Linked DNA regions of Drosophila melanogaster. The protein of the gene in region 1 interacts with the protein of each later gene in a pairwise test. Each region holds a gene or a part of one and is shown on either strand. Other genes may lie near its edges.

Region 1 (9,346 bases):
TTTGTTTGAATGCATGAAAAGCGGCAAAAATATGTATGAATTGTTATTCCGCCGGATAAACTTAAATCCAAAATTCAAAGCGATCAATTTAAATATATGTAGTGATTGGTTTGTTATTGAAAGCATGACAAAGTAAATTACTCTCTTACTTGAATCTCTGATTTCAAACAGTGCTTCTTTTCGCTACAGATCTTTCGACTGACCGGCTTAAGTTCGGCTCGAAATCCGCCTTTTGGATCCAGATCTCCATCAAGAACATTAACTAAATAGTTTATGTACAATATGGCCAACTTCAATGTTTTAATCTGTCAAGTAAACCAAGCAAACGGACACAAACAAACTTCAAATTTATAAATAATTGAATAAGTTATTATAAAATATATTTTTCGCTGGCTATTTTATCTTAATTCTTAAACAAAGTAAAAGTAGAATATAGTTAAGATTGACTTAAGTAGGAAACATTAAAATCCAACCTTCATGTGCTTATTGGTGTATTTAAGTATTAAATTCAAGATTATCTATCCGTCGGTGAAGTTACCTTTGATAATTTAGTATCTGTAGGAACGTTGGGAATCTTTTCTCGCAGATAGGAAAACGCATTGTTTATACTTTGGGTTCGCCTTCTCTCCTTTTTGTTAGCTGTATTACGTTTCTTAACAATCCGAGTATTCGAAGTTGGCACATAACCTAGGTGACTTGTGTTATATATTTGTTGCTGAACTTGACTTTCGGAGTCTGAAATATTTGGAAAATATATACATTATTTTCCATACACACGAAAATATAAAATAAAAGTCGCTTTTGTACTGGAATTGGTACCACAAATCACTGTCCCAATTTTATTTAAATAACAGCGAAGTAAGAAGAATGATTTAAACATTTACGTTTCATGTCGAACATGTTGGAAGTATTATAAATTGAGTTATAATACATGGTTGAGTATTCGCACGTCAAGGCAACGGAATTCTTAAACATTTTCTAATTTAACGTAATTAAATTCAAATCAAATTCGCGGCTTAAGATCGACATTTTCGCAGATAGTGCGTCGCACGTAAAACTCGTCTTTGATGTCTGGCAAGTAACTGAAAAACTTTTTCACTTGTTTAGTGAATGTGCGCCGTCGAGTGAACAACATCTGGATATCCTCCCTCCAAATCCACCAATCGCAATCGCCGACGTTTTGCGTCGACCAATGGTGGGCACTTCAAGATTTATATGTATGTATGTACTCCCGTGTATACATACATCCATATATATCCGGAATATGAACTGCCTTTCATGGTCTAGTGATCCGTAGTTCTCTAGATGGTTCAGTCCTGTTTCTGGAGTCACCTTGAAAACTTCTCCTAACAAAAAGCACTTCCTAATTGTTACAAACTTTTTGTAAAAAAAATATAAGCTACTTGGTATATTAGTTATAGAAAACCACCTATCTTTATTTTTTCCTGTTATATATGTAAAGCCTACCCATATTAATATCATAAAACATATTTTTCAACAAACCAATAACCATTAATAGGCACAAAATCCATTTCACATGTGATTTTTACAAAAATTTTATTGCATTCATTTAATTTATTGATAAATTTGCTCTAATGGTACATCATTATATCTGTGCTTTGGTACAGACACATATAGGCATCGCAAAAAATACGCTTGGCGTGTTCAGGTAATACTTTATCGTTCGTTGAAGTTTCATTTATAGATCGTGCGCCTTCTTCCGAGAGCCACTGTGTTAATTCTGGAACACACGTAATTTCAGGTATATTGTATCCATTCTGTTCGCCTGAAATAACATTTGCGTAAGTATAAGAAACTTGTTAGGTTAAAACTAAGATTTTGCTTGCCTTTTCGATCAGCCATTGAATCGAAGAAACACCATGGAGCATCTGGTCCGGATCCAGACTTGACAAATGCCACGTAGTGAGATGTTTCTATGCAAACGACTGCAAATAACTCCATGTACAATCGCGGGACAACCATGTGCTCGGCCATGATTTTAAATTCCTTCGGACTATAAATCTTCTTCGACACATGATTCGTTCTGAAAGATAGGTTTTTAATTGGTTTTCATTCATTTATCTATGAAGATAGCTGACCTTTTGATGTGACTGTGAAATGTCTTGAGACATTTTGGACAAAAGGCGGTGCATTCCAGTCCTGATCCAGCCTGCAAGCTGCCAAAGCAATCCCGGCACTCGTATTCAGCTAGTTTGCCACAAAGTGAGCACTGTCGAGGAGCTGCAAGTTGAATTTTGTTAAGATTCGAAATGCAAATTGTTATATTGTTGAACACCTACAATTTTCAATTATGTCTGTGACATCAAGAACCTGCGATGGCAATATCCTTGGATACATCTTGTAGTTCTTTCCGAAACGAGGCATTTGAATGATGAAACAAGAAGGAACCTCCTTTAGTTTTATATCCGATGAGTGAAAGCTTTGCTCAAACAATTGTTGCACACTCGGTAATGTTAACTTCTCATCCTTCTCCACAAAGAGTTGGTAAAAATAAGAATCTTGCCCCGAGCTTAGCTACAAAAAAAAAAAAAAAAAAAAAACATGTAAATTATTTAGTATAAAAATCTATGCAATAATGAGTACAATAAGCACCTTTAGAAACGGTTCAACTCGCATTATTTGTGAGAGCAAACTATTTAGGAACTCTTCAGGATCCTTTTCCTCGCAGGTGAGACCGCTGACCGAACTTAGCTGATCTAGGAGCTCGCGCAGTTTCATCACACGATCGGATCGAACGAAAACGTTTTTTCGCAATGGATTGACGATCTCATCGCGCAGAACCTTTTGAACCTCACTGTAATTTCGAATATCCTGTTGAAAATAAAATAATTTGTTATTGGTGAGCTGGGCAGACAAATCGAATAACTTACTTGTGGGCCCGGACGTCTGTACAGAATTGAATCGAAAACACTGGTGAAAGTGAACATGGAAAATAGAGTTGCATCAAGGTAGCAGGAATTATGGTGTCCTTGTATTCCTTTGAACTTTCCACATATGCTAGCAAGCTCATCGGAATTGTGTATTTCTGGAAAACAAATAGCTGCATGAACTCCTTTCCTTTATTAAATGTTTATTGTTATCTTACGTAATGGTGGTATCGAGCCATATATGGCAGGACAGTCAGCGACGCCAAATTTCTTTGCGTGATTACTAGAAACTCTGTTTGCAGAAATGCTATTATCTACATCAGCAAATCGCCGGTCAGCGGTGCATCTGTTGGCTGGTACAAAAATAGCTCGACCATCATGGCAAGTAAATAAGCTAAAACAAAACACAACACAGAAGATATTTTTCAGTTAAGAGTTTTTCTTGTATGAGTACCTATTTATGTGTTTTAAATGTTTAAAAGTATGACATACCGTACGCCATTGTGTCTCCCATCCGATGCCACTACATTTTTCAAGTTGGATTCGTCTTCTACCTCGATTCCGACGAGTACGTTTTTTTGCGGGCCAGGCGGTATACCTATCCATCTCACAACGCCATATAGATCTTCACATACTCCAGGATTCGAGACTTCGACGAGGGAACCAATCGCTAGCTCGGTTCCAGGTATTTCAATCAGAGGTTGATAATCAGCGATTGTAAAACCTAGGACAAGAATAAAATTAAAATAAATTTTAATTTCTTAGAAAATCAAATTAAAAAAAGCGGAACGATTTCATAATAGATCATACCAAGTTCTTCGGGCAATAAATTTGGTGAATAAAATTCTAGCACTGTTAATGGAATATTATTGTGGATATCCGAGTCAGAAGACAATTTTTGTTGGTATATATTCATTTTTGAAAGACGCACAGCACAATTTTAATTTCTTTACTAATTTTTATGTTTTTTTTTTTTTCAGCAATTGAGAACTTTGATAAAGTGCAGAACAAATAAAACTCCTCGACAAACTGCATATATCAACTCAGAGAACTGCCGTTTTACGTGAACGTAAATAGAATATATGTATGTGTCGTTATGTATTTGGCCGGCGTTCTATAAATAAATAGACGTTTTCATTTCGTTGTCTTTTGCAAGGAAGCAAAGTGAATACAAGTCTTACAACAACTGTAAAGTATCGAGAATAAAAGATTCAATAACAGTGAACGCTATATTCGAAAGAAGCGACTATTACATACCTGTTTACTCAGCTAAAAGAAGTGCGATACACTTGAAAATAGACAACCAGCACAAGGAGTGATGTAGCAGGCAGAATTTGAATGTCTTTTGCAAGCAGTACAGAAGACTGCTTGAGTAATTCCACTAACTAGAACTAGCTTTTACAGTTCCTGAGATCTCGTTATTTATATGGACGGACAAACAGGATTAAGATTAAGAGAGCTAGTAAACCTGACCAAGAATGTAGCAGGTCGGAACAGATTCCTTCCTTAGTTCTTAATAATGATATATTTCTTTTCTTTTTGAAGAAATGACAGTAAAATAAACTTACGTAAAGGTTCCTCCGGCTCTATTTTTAATATGGGTGAGGCTGGTTTTAAAATTAAGTCTACAGAATTACTAGGATCCGTTTTACTTTTGTTGTTTAAGATCATTGCAGCTGGTCCCGCTCGTTTTGGCCAATTTGTGCCCAAAATGTCTGCCAAATCCACATCCTCAAGATGTTGATTATCGACGGCACTATGGTTGGCATCGGTGTTTCTAAAAATCGCTCATTATTAGCTTTAAATGAATTGAAACAGTTTTACTACGTACTTTAAAATTCCGTTTTTTCTGTTAGGAATCTTTTTCGGGTATACATGGGTCTTGTGCTCGCTCTCGTTGGATAGTTCATAGTTTTCCAGGGAGTCCCCGAATCTATTTGTTATGGTCAGCTTTTTTTCTTTTTCTGCTTCATAATCGGATTTGGAATTCATTATTTCCAACTAAAGGCTATAATAACATTTGTATTAGTAATTAAATAAAAAGGATATACAAAATGTATTGGTCATAAGTGTTTTTTTATGAAAAATTTTAAAGAGCATGCTATATATTTGGCAGAGAGTATTCTACAGTCGAGTTAAAACTGTTAAACGAAATAATCAATGATACTCGATGTGACGGATTCTGTTTGTAACTGCTTAGTTTGCAGTCGCTTACATACATATGTACATATGCACGTAAGTATGTAAGAGACATCAGGTTGCTGTAACAGTAGTTCAATAAACATTCCATTGTTTTTACGCTAATTTCAATCTTGCATTAAATATTTATTTGCCAAGGAGGACTGCACAGAACAAGTAACAGGAAATACATGCATAACAAACACAATTCGTTAGCAACTTTTCCCTAATTGATAAAAACAATGACACACAACAATCGCGACTACATTGGTTTAATAATATTGCTGTTCGCTGAAATACCAAATGACCAATTAAGTTTTTAGCGCAACCCTGTTTGAGTTTTAATACAAACACACATAAATTGAACTAACAAATAAAAAGGTGTTTATATCCTGGATTTTTGTTTAGTATTTATAAAATTTGTGTCTTTTAGAATGCGATTGGAATGAATTCTGGATATCGTTATCGATTTTACCGCAATCGACAATTGTTGGGGGTAATCTTGAACCAAAAAAATACAATACAGTCAAAAAAACAAAGTAATAACGGTTTAAAAACGGTTTTATTATATAGAATATGTAACAGTATATTGCGATTTGTTTGTCGTTGCTTGTTAGGCTTAGTATGTTTTATTGCTTATGAATTTTATCATAAACTTTTAACAACAACAAAATAAACAATTTTATATATTCTAATATGCATTATATTTTATATTAAGCAACTTATTTTTTAGCATTTTTTTTATTGTGGGGAAAAAGTCTTTTAAAAGTCTGTCAGGTATATAATAATTCTCTGAATAGGATTATTTACGCTAAACATTTGATTAGATTATCACTTTTGAGCACCTTCTGCTGAAGCGGATTGGATTGGCAGTTCCACATGTATAGGACTTTGAAAGGCCATTGGTTGGAGTTGTACAAACTGAAATGGTATGGAGAATGGCATACCGCGATAGGCATTAGCCGATTCCTGTGGACTTAGGTCTACGTTGGAGCTATTGACAAAGTCTGGAGCAGAGTTGGCGGTCTCCAAATCCTTTCCCGTGATATTGAAAGGAGTAGGGGGACCGACGAGTTTCAGGGAAACCCCATCCCGTCCAGGAGAAGTCGATTCAATGCTAGTTTTGGGTACGTATTCCTGGTTATACTGCGAATCAAAACTACTTTTTGTTACGTAATCGTGCTTAAATTGAGGATCAATACTACTTTTCGTCACGTAATCGTGCTTAAATTGAGGATCAATACTACTTTTCGTCACGTAATCGTGCTTAAATTGAGGATCAATACTACTTTTCGTCACGTACTCGTTTTTAAACTGCTGATCGAGATTAGTTTTCGTTGCGTAATCGTGCTTTAACTGTGTGGGCACGGAGCTTTGATAGTCCTCCATCCTCGGAGGATGATCCAATTCCCTAGATTTGTATATCCTGTTGTAGTAGTTTGAGGATGGTAGGCTGGATGGTTCGTGTTCTCTGGGCGGTGGATGATCCATTTCCATGTTAAATTTGAACTCCTCGCCGCGTGGATAACTTTCGTAGAGTGATGATGACTCGAACTTATATGGCTCGCTGGAACGAATGTAAACGGGAACCTTTCGTTCTACCTCAACCTTATAGGGCACTGGTACCTTCTTCTCGAGATGAACTGGCACCTTTATTTCGACCGGATACGGAACAGTCCGGAGCACTGGATACGGTTTCGGTACGTGGACTATTTTCTCAATTATCTTTTCGACCACATATGGTTTGGGCACTTGGACTGGCTTTGGGATGTGAATCACCTTTTCCACTATCTTTTCGATAGGCACGTGCACTATTTTCTCAACTGTAACATTCACCAGCTTGGGCACATGTACGATCTTCTCGACAATTTTCTCAATGGGCACATGGACGACCTTTTCCACGGGATACGGTTGTGGTACTGTTTTGATCAGCTCCTTTATGTGGTTGTGATGATGGTGGTGATGATGATGCTTGATTTTCACCTTCATCCGCTTCGCATCCTTCTTACTCGAGTGCTCGACATGTTCGTGCAGAATCGCTTGTGTTCCGACCTGTTCGGATGCCTGGTATTGACCATCGTCCTCATCGATATGCTCGTGGATCTCTTCGAATGTATGATAATGCCTACTTTCCGTACTCTCATCCGCATAATTGGGACTCACATTTTTTCTTCGAGCACCAGATGGCTTATATTTCAGTTTATTCCTCGTCATTTTATCGCCTTGCTTTTGATAGTTTTTCACACCGCGTTTCAAAGTCACATTGCGTTCGGTTTCCCGATTATAATGTTGCAGATCCAGCTTTTCCGATCTTCTTCCGGTATTGTGAGTAGATCCTTTTCCGTATTCAGGATAGCTCCACTCGGCACTTTCGACACTATTGGTTTTATTCACAGCATAGGAATTACTGTGTGCAGTACTTCCAATAATTATTAAGGTTATGAATAGGTATCCAGGAATCAAAGTTAACTGAAATAGAAAGGATGCGCGTAAATGAAGTATGTACATACAAAATATCTCCTATCAAAAAGACAAATTGGAAATATAGCTTACCATTGGGTTCATTTTTTGTTAAGTATATAGTCTCGCTTGGATTTGAAGTGGTTTAATCAACGCCTTCAACAGAAATGATTTGAGCCAATCGAAGAAAGTATTTATATGAGCACGAAACATAATTAAAATGTGCAGAAGCAAATTTCTTCGCTTGAAGTTTGTACACTCTATATTTTTCTTAAATTAAGAAATTATACAAAAACATCAAGAACTAATTTGTTTTGGTTTGATTATTTAAAATGTATGCATGTTTTTATTCATTTTTAATTAGATATACAAATGTGTAGCTTTGAAATGCCGTCAGAAATAAACGACCTTTTTAAAAGAGAATAAAACTGCACAAGTTTACTTATATTTTTTTTTACGATTGAAAGCCCACGGTCGCGTGACGCAAGTTGTGTGTGTGTTTGAAGAAGTGTACAAGTGCAATATCTTTATAAATGTTTGAAATTTCTCTAGGTGAATATTTCACAGAAGCCCGTAAATGTAATAATTAAAGTGCATTGAGCTCCGCTTTACGGAAATGCTATGGATTGTGTAATTTCCTGCAGTATCCGTTGCTGTTTTCAAGACTACCAAAACTACGTTTTCCGGATACCCATTTTGGAATGCAGAGAACAGGGTTAATTAACACATAACATTGGAGCTCCTCTCGAAAGGCAAATAAAAAGTTTATTATACAAATTTAAGTTGGATATATCGGGAGCTTGAATAAACAATGGTCAGCTTAATCTAATTCGATTCTATTCTCTAAGAATAGGCTGCTCGTGTGCATCTTTGATTCCTTAATTTTTAAGTGCGAGCCCAGCAAATCGTCCATGGTGATGCGGACGTTGTTGCGATCAAGCGCTGTAGCTGACGGATCTCTGGACGTGATGAGCTGCCTCATTCGGTAAACTGAAGCATTCCGGCACATTTCCCGCAGGTCTGAGCCCGAGAAGCCATTTGTGAGCTTGGACAAGCGATTCAAGTCGACATCCTGACTTACTTCCTCCGATTGGAGGATCAGCTTCAGGATGTCTTTTCGTTGGGTCTCCGAGGGCAGACCAATGTGGAATTGGGCTGGCATGCGGCGCACAATGGCCTTGTCTAAATCCTGCGGCCTGTTCGTGGCACCCATCACAATCACCGTCGAGTTGGCGTTCGTGCTGAGGCCATCCCACAGCATCATAAACTGGGTCTTCATCATGGCGGTAGCCTCGTGGTCGTTCATGTTTCGAGATCGCAAAAATGAGTCTATTTCGTCAATAAAAATAATGCATGGCTCGATTCGCGATGCAAGCGAGAAGACAGCAGAAGTCAATTTCTGGGATTCCCCGTACCACTTGTCGGTAAGAATGGCGACGTCCAAGTTGATAAAGCGCATTCCCGCCTCTTTTGCCGTCGCCTTCGCTATCAGCGTCTTTCCACAGCCCGGTGGTCCATGGAGCAGGACGCCTTTGGGCGCCTGCCACAGCTTCGAATGCTTGAAGAGATCCTTGTGCTGGATTGGCAGCACCACCGATTCCCGGAGCTCCTGAATGACTGAATCCAGACCGGCGATATCGGCCCAACTGACTGTTATGTCGGCGGGAACAACAAGATGTGACGCAATCATAAGCTCGTAGTCGCTAAACTCTTGCCCTCTTAGCTTGAAGCCCTCCTGCTCGGCTAGCCTGCATGGAAAAGGTTTACACATGTACAATATATGCTATATGAGTCTAATATAAACCTCTTAAGCTGCTCCT
Region 2 (7,159 bases), on another chromosome or scaffold:
ATAAATAAGTTATGTTCGCATTACCGTTTTGTTTTTACGTAAAATATGCTGGGATACACAAGCATGTGTGTAGTAATGGAACCCTTTTCCCATCCGATACCCGATCGAACTTCGATCATTACTTCGTCTTTTAGCTTTTTATTTTGTCTGTTATGAAATTTTTCATTTTCGTGGCTGTCTGTGCGTTGGTCTCTGTGGTTGGCCATTTCGATGTTTCATAATGTAACCTGCGCATATCAACAGGTTATTGACCGCCAATCCGCTGGGGATGGCATGTGGTATGGGCCAGGGGTTTACCACCACCACTTGCGGCCCGGGAAGCAGTCGCGTCTGCAGACCCACGAGACCGCTTTTGGCCATCTCTGGGTCTCGCTTCTCGGGGGTTGTGCGTCGACTGAGTATCTCGCATAGCCACAAGGAAGTTTGAGATACAGATACAGATGGCTCGGGCCAAGATCAGTCTGTCTATAGGCTAGACTTGTGGACAAACCAGGCGATGCCAGCTCAGCTCAACTTAGCTTAGCTCACTTCGCTGGAAGGCTAATGAGTTACAACCTGTCCGCGACGATCTCGAGTAAACATATTTTTATAAAAACGAGCGTATATTATATAAGCGAATTAAGTACGTGACTTTGACAACTCCCGCAAAGGCTTTTTGGAATATTTGCGCACTAAGCCATAAATAAATTGCTGTTTTGCTGAATTTGCAATTTTGACTGGGTTATATATTTAATTGTGCCAGGGCCTGGACCATAAAATCCCGACCGAGTTATTCGAATCAGATAACGTGCTCCTGACGCAGAGTGGCTTCCACTGGCGGAGGGGTGGGCACAAAGGAACCGATTCGTTCAATTAATCGCTGCCCCACTCAAGTACACATCTGAGCAAATGCACACCCAGGGGGGTGCTGAGGTGGTGCGATGGTATCCACTGCAATTCGCAGTTTGCACACGTTTGTGTGGCCCCACTGAGTGGGTAACGGTAATTGGTAATGTGAGCCAACCCGCCAACAACCCAACTCTCCAACTTTGGCCCCTCCGAGTCCGCCGATCCGATATATCCAATGCATTATGCAAACGGCGTAAAATTGTAAAACCCAAAGCAGAGCCAATGCAAATGAAGCTCTTGCTAGATTTTGAAGCAGATCAAGGGTGTATACAAATACATATATATATATATATACATATATCTAGAAGGAGGCTACAGACTCGATACTGGATCCCCTAGTGAAGTAACCCAGTTCCCCATTTCTTTTTATTTCTTTGTTCTGCTGTTTGCTCGTCGACTCTTCGATTGTTTGGCTGTCTGTCGGGAGAGGTGCTAAGTCGTGACCAATGCCGGATTCGGAAATTTCAGGGAGCTTCTGCTCTGTATCACCACCACTAAATTAGCATCGGAGCTGAAGCGATCCACTTGACGTCACCGACGACCAGAGAAATCCCACAAATCTCAGATGCAGATGTGTCACCGCAGTAGAACATTCGGCGCTAATTAAAAGTCCATTCGACGCTTCGCTGGCCACGGAGAATAGACAATGAGCTGTTGCTTTGGCCGCTGAACCGTAAACCCATACTCATACCCAGCCCATCCGAACTGGGGCACATGAACCAGATGGCAGCCATCCAATCTCGCCCTGGGAGGCAGTTGCTCAACCCGCGGGCCGCGCTGTCGAAATGCATTTCGTTTGTGCAACGAAAGTGCAATCATCTCCCGGCTGACACACACGCACCTTGCGAAATCCCCCCATTGAGAGCACCAGGCTTCAGCTCCACCTCTGCCCTGCGTTACCCAAGAGACCTGGTCGAAGTATGATTGCTTCGAACTTTCTTTTTTCTTTTTTTTTCTAATATCACCGACATATGTTCTCCGATTTTCGTTTATGACAAATCAATACCATATTCGGCTGGTGAACAGAGAAGCGATGATCTGCTTTCTAATTTCTATAACTTGATTCTTAAACACAAGACGCCATTAAAATAACCACCAATTTTGTTACTTTGCAGATGTCCCACCTCTACTCAACATTCGCTCAATTGGTAAGCGTGCACTGCAAGTCAACAGCCGCCGTCGGAGGCCTCCCAGTGAACCAGTGCAAGCACAACCTGCTCGGTTACGGGTCCGCCAAGCTGCAGACGCTCTCCGACGTACAGCTGGAGGCACTAGATCCGTATCAGCGCGATGCCAACGAGCTGAGTAAGTGCCTCTATCTGCGTGGGAGAATGATTGATTTCCGCGTCAGAACTTCCGCAGTGCGCAGTCGCGACGTGCTCGACGTGAGCTCTAAATCTCGGTGTCGATCTAATCGCTCTTTTCTTCCGCAGTCTGGTCATCGATTATGGGGGACCATCCGAGCGGAGCCAGCCTGGTGACAACGAGGCAGCCGCTCCAACAGCCCCTGCCAACTCCTCCTGCGTCCTCTCTGATCATCCTAACGCGCCAGCAACTTCCGCACGGAGCATCCCATGCCCACCCCATCCAGAGCTCCGGCTCCGCCACCAATCCAATCTTCGAGAGCGGCGAGCAGAAGCACAAATACGCCATGGACATGGACAAGGCCTACGGCTACGGGCCGCAGTCCAGCAGTGAGCTCCCAATGGCCGCCGCACTGACTTCAGAACCGTCCAAAAGATTCCTCACCGGACCTTTGGTGATCCGGGTGCGACCCGATGGCTCCCCGGTGGAGGAGGACAAGATGATGCCACTGCCGCGGGACGAAGACCTGCCCTACTTTCATCTTGGTCTGGCCGCCGCTCAGCCCAACAGGCACCGCAAGATCGCCACAATCAGCTCCTTAAAGCAGCAGCACTTCGCCTCTATCCTGCAGAGCGACCTCCAGCCACCCCACCAGACGCAGAGGCGTCTGTTCCGCCAGCAACAGGCGTAAGATCGCGGTCAGAGGATCCGCAGGCCTAGACCTAAGTCCTTGTGTGAATGTGATAGAGCAGATGAGGAGATCCTGCATCATAGAGTGCGAGAGTGAACGTGTGAGTCTTCTAGTTGTAGCCGTTTGAGGAGTTTTCTTGAATGCACTTGAGCTTTAATGGAATTTCGTATCGTATTCGTTTAAGTTTTTTTAATTTTATTTATTCGCGTGCATTAGTCGTAAGATCACATAGAGATTCTTGAGTAATAAACCGCATGATGATTATCATTGTTACGAACGTATTAATTCTAAAATGTGTGGATTGGGATGGAAATGAGGATGGGGATGCGGTCTGTGCACATAGCCAGGAACCGGTTGGTTATGGTAATACGAAAGTCGCATCTCGGCCAGCCACCAGTTCCTTGTCGCGAGCTCCACTCACACCTATATTTAACACGCGAAAGCCTTATTAACCCACATCTACAGAGTTGAGCCGAACAATGGAGGTACTGAATCCGGTTTGGCGGGTTCAGAACGCACTGCGCCGTCCATTAGAATTTGCGAGTTTTGGCAATTACATTTCGGTGTAATTTCGCTGGCAACTGGTTTGTCAGGCTCAGGCCTTTAGGACGCGCCCATTAATCTCAGCTGAGCAACAAAGGAAGGTAAATTGGGATGCACGTCACTGGGCTTGAATAAATGATGCCGGGACTTTCCACCGCCCTTGCAGTGCAAACTGCACTTCATATGCACGAGTTTTGGGCGTGTAATCAGTTTTATTGAAATTAGCTGCTTTTAAATTTAGATAGACGAGCTCGCCGATTGTCGATAACATTTCCGATTATGACAATATGACAATCAATGACACAAAAAAAGGCACATTTGAAACGATTGCGGTCACACTGGTCTAAGTTGTTTGGTAAATTAGTTAAAAGTAAATATTACTCCGAAAACAATTTTATTTCCTTAAAGCTTGTCAGCAAAGCAAAACGAGATAAGGAACGCAGTAGTATATAAGGTATATATGCAATAAACATGACAATTGCTTATTCCATTGTGACGCGTCGATGTAATTCCCACGCCTAATGAATCATTGCCCTAAAACTCATTTATTATACATTTATCCTTACTATTGCCGATATCAAATTAATCGATTTGGCTAATACTTTGCCGTCTAGTTTTCGAAAGAGGGGAATTCCCTCACCTGCGTTCACAGTCGTAAAATCTGATTATTAATACCCGCCATTGCTACCGCGACAACGGAGACATGTCGGACGAAGAGTCATTCGTTATCTTGGGTAGCTCGCCGTGCTCCTCGCTCATGCCGGACAGTTCCTTGCGGTCCGACGTATGTGGTAACGCGCAGGAGGCGAAGGAAACCGTTGCCTCTACGAGCACTCAGCCGCCAACAGTGAACTGTATTCCAGTCAGCATCACTGCATCGCAGCAGCAGCACAAATCGCTGGATTCCGGATCTTCCCAGCAACAATCCCTGGCGACCAGCTTCATTATGGGAGAAATTCAATCCGATGTCCTGAAGGTGAGCGTCTGGTTACCGTCTGGTCTGTTTAAATTCTAACAACAGTCTCTAAATCCAACCACAGAACAGTGTTTATTCGCAGTTTCCCAGCCTCTGCTCGTTGCAGGGCTCCGCAGAGGAAGTAGTTAAGCTGCAGAACATGATGACCGAGTACCTCGCGCTAAAGAGTGAGCATTTTTTTCCCGTAAAGTAATATACAGCAATAATATGCCATTATCCGGCCAGGCACACTTGACAAGGTCAACCAAACCATGCTGAACTACCACAACCTGACTCAACAATGGCGCCAGGAAGCCGCCGACCGAGAACACCAGTACAAGGAGCATGTGAAAGAGTGCCAAGCGCAAATCGCGATCCTTCGCGTGGAAAACCAAGAGCTGAAGAGGGACCTAGAGACGAAAATCGAGCAGATTGAAGGGGTTCATACCATCAGGCTAAAGGAGCAGGATGAGCTTCGTAAGAGCGTATCTGAGAAACAGTCCCTGATCGACAACATGCGCGTGGAGATTGACAAACTGAAACAGCTAAATGTATGTCTACCAGTTGCTCCAAGCGATAGGGCAAATACTTGCATACAGACTCGCAATCATTGCTATTCTGCATTGTAAACTGGACAGTATCTCTTTAAAATATTCTCTTCCGGGCTCGCACCCTTTTTCTTCTGTTATTTCAGCACTCGTTTGAGTTCGTACCAGAGTATGCAACCGAATCAAAATCCCAGGAGCTGATAAAGAAAATGCAGCTGGATATTAACGAGCTGAAGGCCAGGGACATCCAGAAGCAGGAGGTGATCAAAGGTCTACAGATCCAAAACGATATCTACCGCAGGGACTTTGAAATGGAGCGGGCAGATCGCGAGAAGAATGCCGGAGAGAAAGATCAGTATCTTATGGACTTGCGATCATTGCAGAGGAGGAACCAGGAGCTTATCGAAGCTCTGGCCGAGTCCCACAAGGCAAGCAAGGCGTGCTCGACCGCTTCTCCGCTGAGTTCAAGCAGAAGCAATTTGCGAGAGGAGCAGAGACCAGTAAGAGTACGCTGATTCCAAAGTCCATAAATGTCAATACTAATTTTTGTATCGGTAGATTCTCGACCCAACAGGCGCCTCATCCCGGACTTCAGACACCACTTTGCGATGTCCGATCTGTTCAAAGTCCTTTAACGCCTTAAGCGTGCTTCAGAGTCACGTTAACGATTGTTTGGATAAAAACTAAGCACAATTTCTTACCATATTAATAAATTTATATATATATATATATTTTCTTTTTTTACAATATCTTGTTTAATCTTAAAAGCCTGGCTAACCGGCCATATTATATAAAAACACTAATTACAGTTTCGTTAACAATGAACAATGCACGAGTCTCCTCAGAGTTTGCTGCGAATGGGGGGCATTTCCAGAGACCACACGCGGTGTACATCTGGACTGGCTACCAGGTTGCTAAGCACATTTAAGTCTGCAAAGAATTAAGATAAGCTAGAAACCATCGATTCGACATTCTGCTCACCGTTGGTGCGTGCAAACTGCTGCAACGTGTTGCGGATATCACAAATTGGAATGGCTGTATTTATGTTTGGGTAGACGACGTCGTCTAATTTAATGTTGGACACACAAACGCCTAGGATGCATCCATTCTGGTCGAACATCGGTCCTCCACTTTGGCCCGCCTGCACGCTGCCATCGGACATAATGGCCCCGGTGTCGCACTTGATGACCCTCCCTTGAAAAATCGAAGGGTTGAAGTCGTGCCTGAAGCTGAAGTTAACGTAGTAGGGAAACCCGGCGTTGTACACCATTTGCCCGACGGTGGCCGGACTCCTGGCCAGTCGCACGCAGCATTGCTCCGGCACATCCTGCGGAGCTGTGAGTAGAGCCAAGTCGAAGGGCTTATCGCTGTCCGGATTGCACCAAATCACCTCAGACTGGAACTCGCGATCGGCAGCACGGCAATTAACAGTCTCAATGTTCTGCGTGAAAGACATTATTTAGTGCGCCAAGGTTTCGGGCAGCCCATGCTTGCATACCTGTCCCACCACATGTGCACAAGTGAGGATAAAGCGCTTGTTGTGTACTCTTATGAAGGTCCCGGTACCTTGTTGACCCGCCGACTCTATGACCACAATGGTGCGCTCCCCTAGAACGGTGTGTAGTTACTATAAGAACAACGTGGAATTAGTCTTAACTTACAGGCAAAGCTCGACGGCTCTCGACTCAGCTGGAATGCTGTAGTAGACATGCCCAGTTGTTCCATAAAGTTGCGCAAAAGGTAGCCAAAGTTTGCGGCCAGAGTGAGGTTGACGTTTTCGTGATGGCGTTGAAATGAGGTGCATATCACAATGCCAACGAGCCGCCTGATAAACGGAAATTTTTGGTATATTACGGTTTTGTAACGTATTCATCACCTACAGCTTGTTGTTGAACACTGCAGAGCCTTCACAGCCCAGGGGCAAAGCGTTTGAAATGGCAAACAAGCAGCCACTTCGTCCCATAACATTAGACACCTTTCCAATGCTGATGGTCTTGTAAAAGTTCTCCAGGCCAAAGGGCGAGCACATGACCAGCACGTCGTCCAAAGTGTGCATGGGCTGCAGGTATCGCAAGTAGTTAGCGATGTGCGCGAGGAAGCGCTTGAAGGACTTCTCCTTTTCGGGCTTCCGCAGGCCCAGCACCACGAAACTGGAGCGCAGCACCTCACCCGCATCGCCGGAGTCAGCGGTGAGTAGTATGTGGTGCAGGTTGCGGCAAACTTCGTTCG

What was found. The genes of interacting proteins can lie anywhere in the genome.
Region 2: the proteins of CYLD (region 1) and key interact in a two-hybrid assay, tested with the Drosophila melanogaster proteins (one study listed by BioGRID).

Annotation. Positions count from the first base shown.
Region 1 is NT_033779.5:10,294,325-10,303,670, forward strand, and holds CYLD (cylindromatosis), read right to left. Parts: upstream 5,524-9,346; 5' UTR 5,423-5,523; intron 4,897-5,422; 5' UTR 4,881-4,896; coding exon 4,720-4,880; intron 4,666-4,719; coding exon 4,457-4,665; intron 4,090-4,456; exon of another isoform or gene 3,805-4,089; coding exon of another isoform or gene 3,699-3,804; exon of another isoform or gene 3,654-3,698; intron 3,613-3,653; coding exon 3,381-3,612; intron 3,283-3,380; coding exon 3,107-3,282; intron 3,047-3,106; coding exon 2,892-3,046; intron 2,833-2,891; coding exon 2,614-2,832; intron 2,536-2,613; coding exon 2,301-2,535; intron 2,242-2,300; coding exon 2,100-2,241; intron 2,045-2,099; coding exon 1,848-2,044; intron 1,787-1,847; coding exon 1,593-1,786; 3' UTR 1,535-1,592; downstream 1-1,534. Other genes in the region: hand, read right to left, coding at 150-305, 539-735, 885-975; CG13138 (uncharacterized protein), read right to left, coding at 5,898-7,535, 7,620-7,631; nmd (no mitochondrial derivative), read right to left, coding at 8,347-9,274, 9,331-9,346.
Region 2 is NT_033778.4:24,784,013-24,791,171, reverse strand, and holds key (kenny), read left to right. Parts: upstream 1-3,760; 5' UTR 3,761-3,881; intron 3,882-4,041; 5' UTR 4,042-4,130; coding exon 4,131-4,403; intron 4,404-4,467; coding exon 4,468-4,570; intron 4,571-4,628; coding exon 4,629-4,933; intron 4,934-5,076; coding exon 5,077-5,436; intron 5,437-5,488; coding exon 5,489-5,617; 3' UTR 5,618-5,658; downstream 5,659-7,159. Other genes in the region: Reg-5 (rhythmically expressed gene 5), read left to right, coding at 2,004-2,193, 2,322-2,884; CG3589 (uncharacterized protein), read right to left, coding at 5,772-5,860, 5,912-6,371, 6,429-6,538, 6,592-6,755, 6,811-7,159.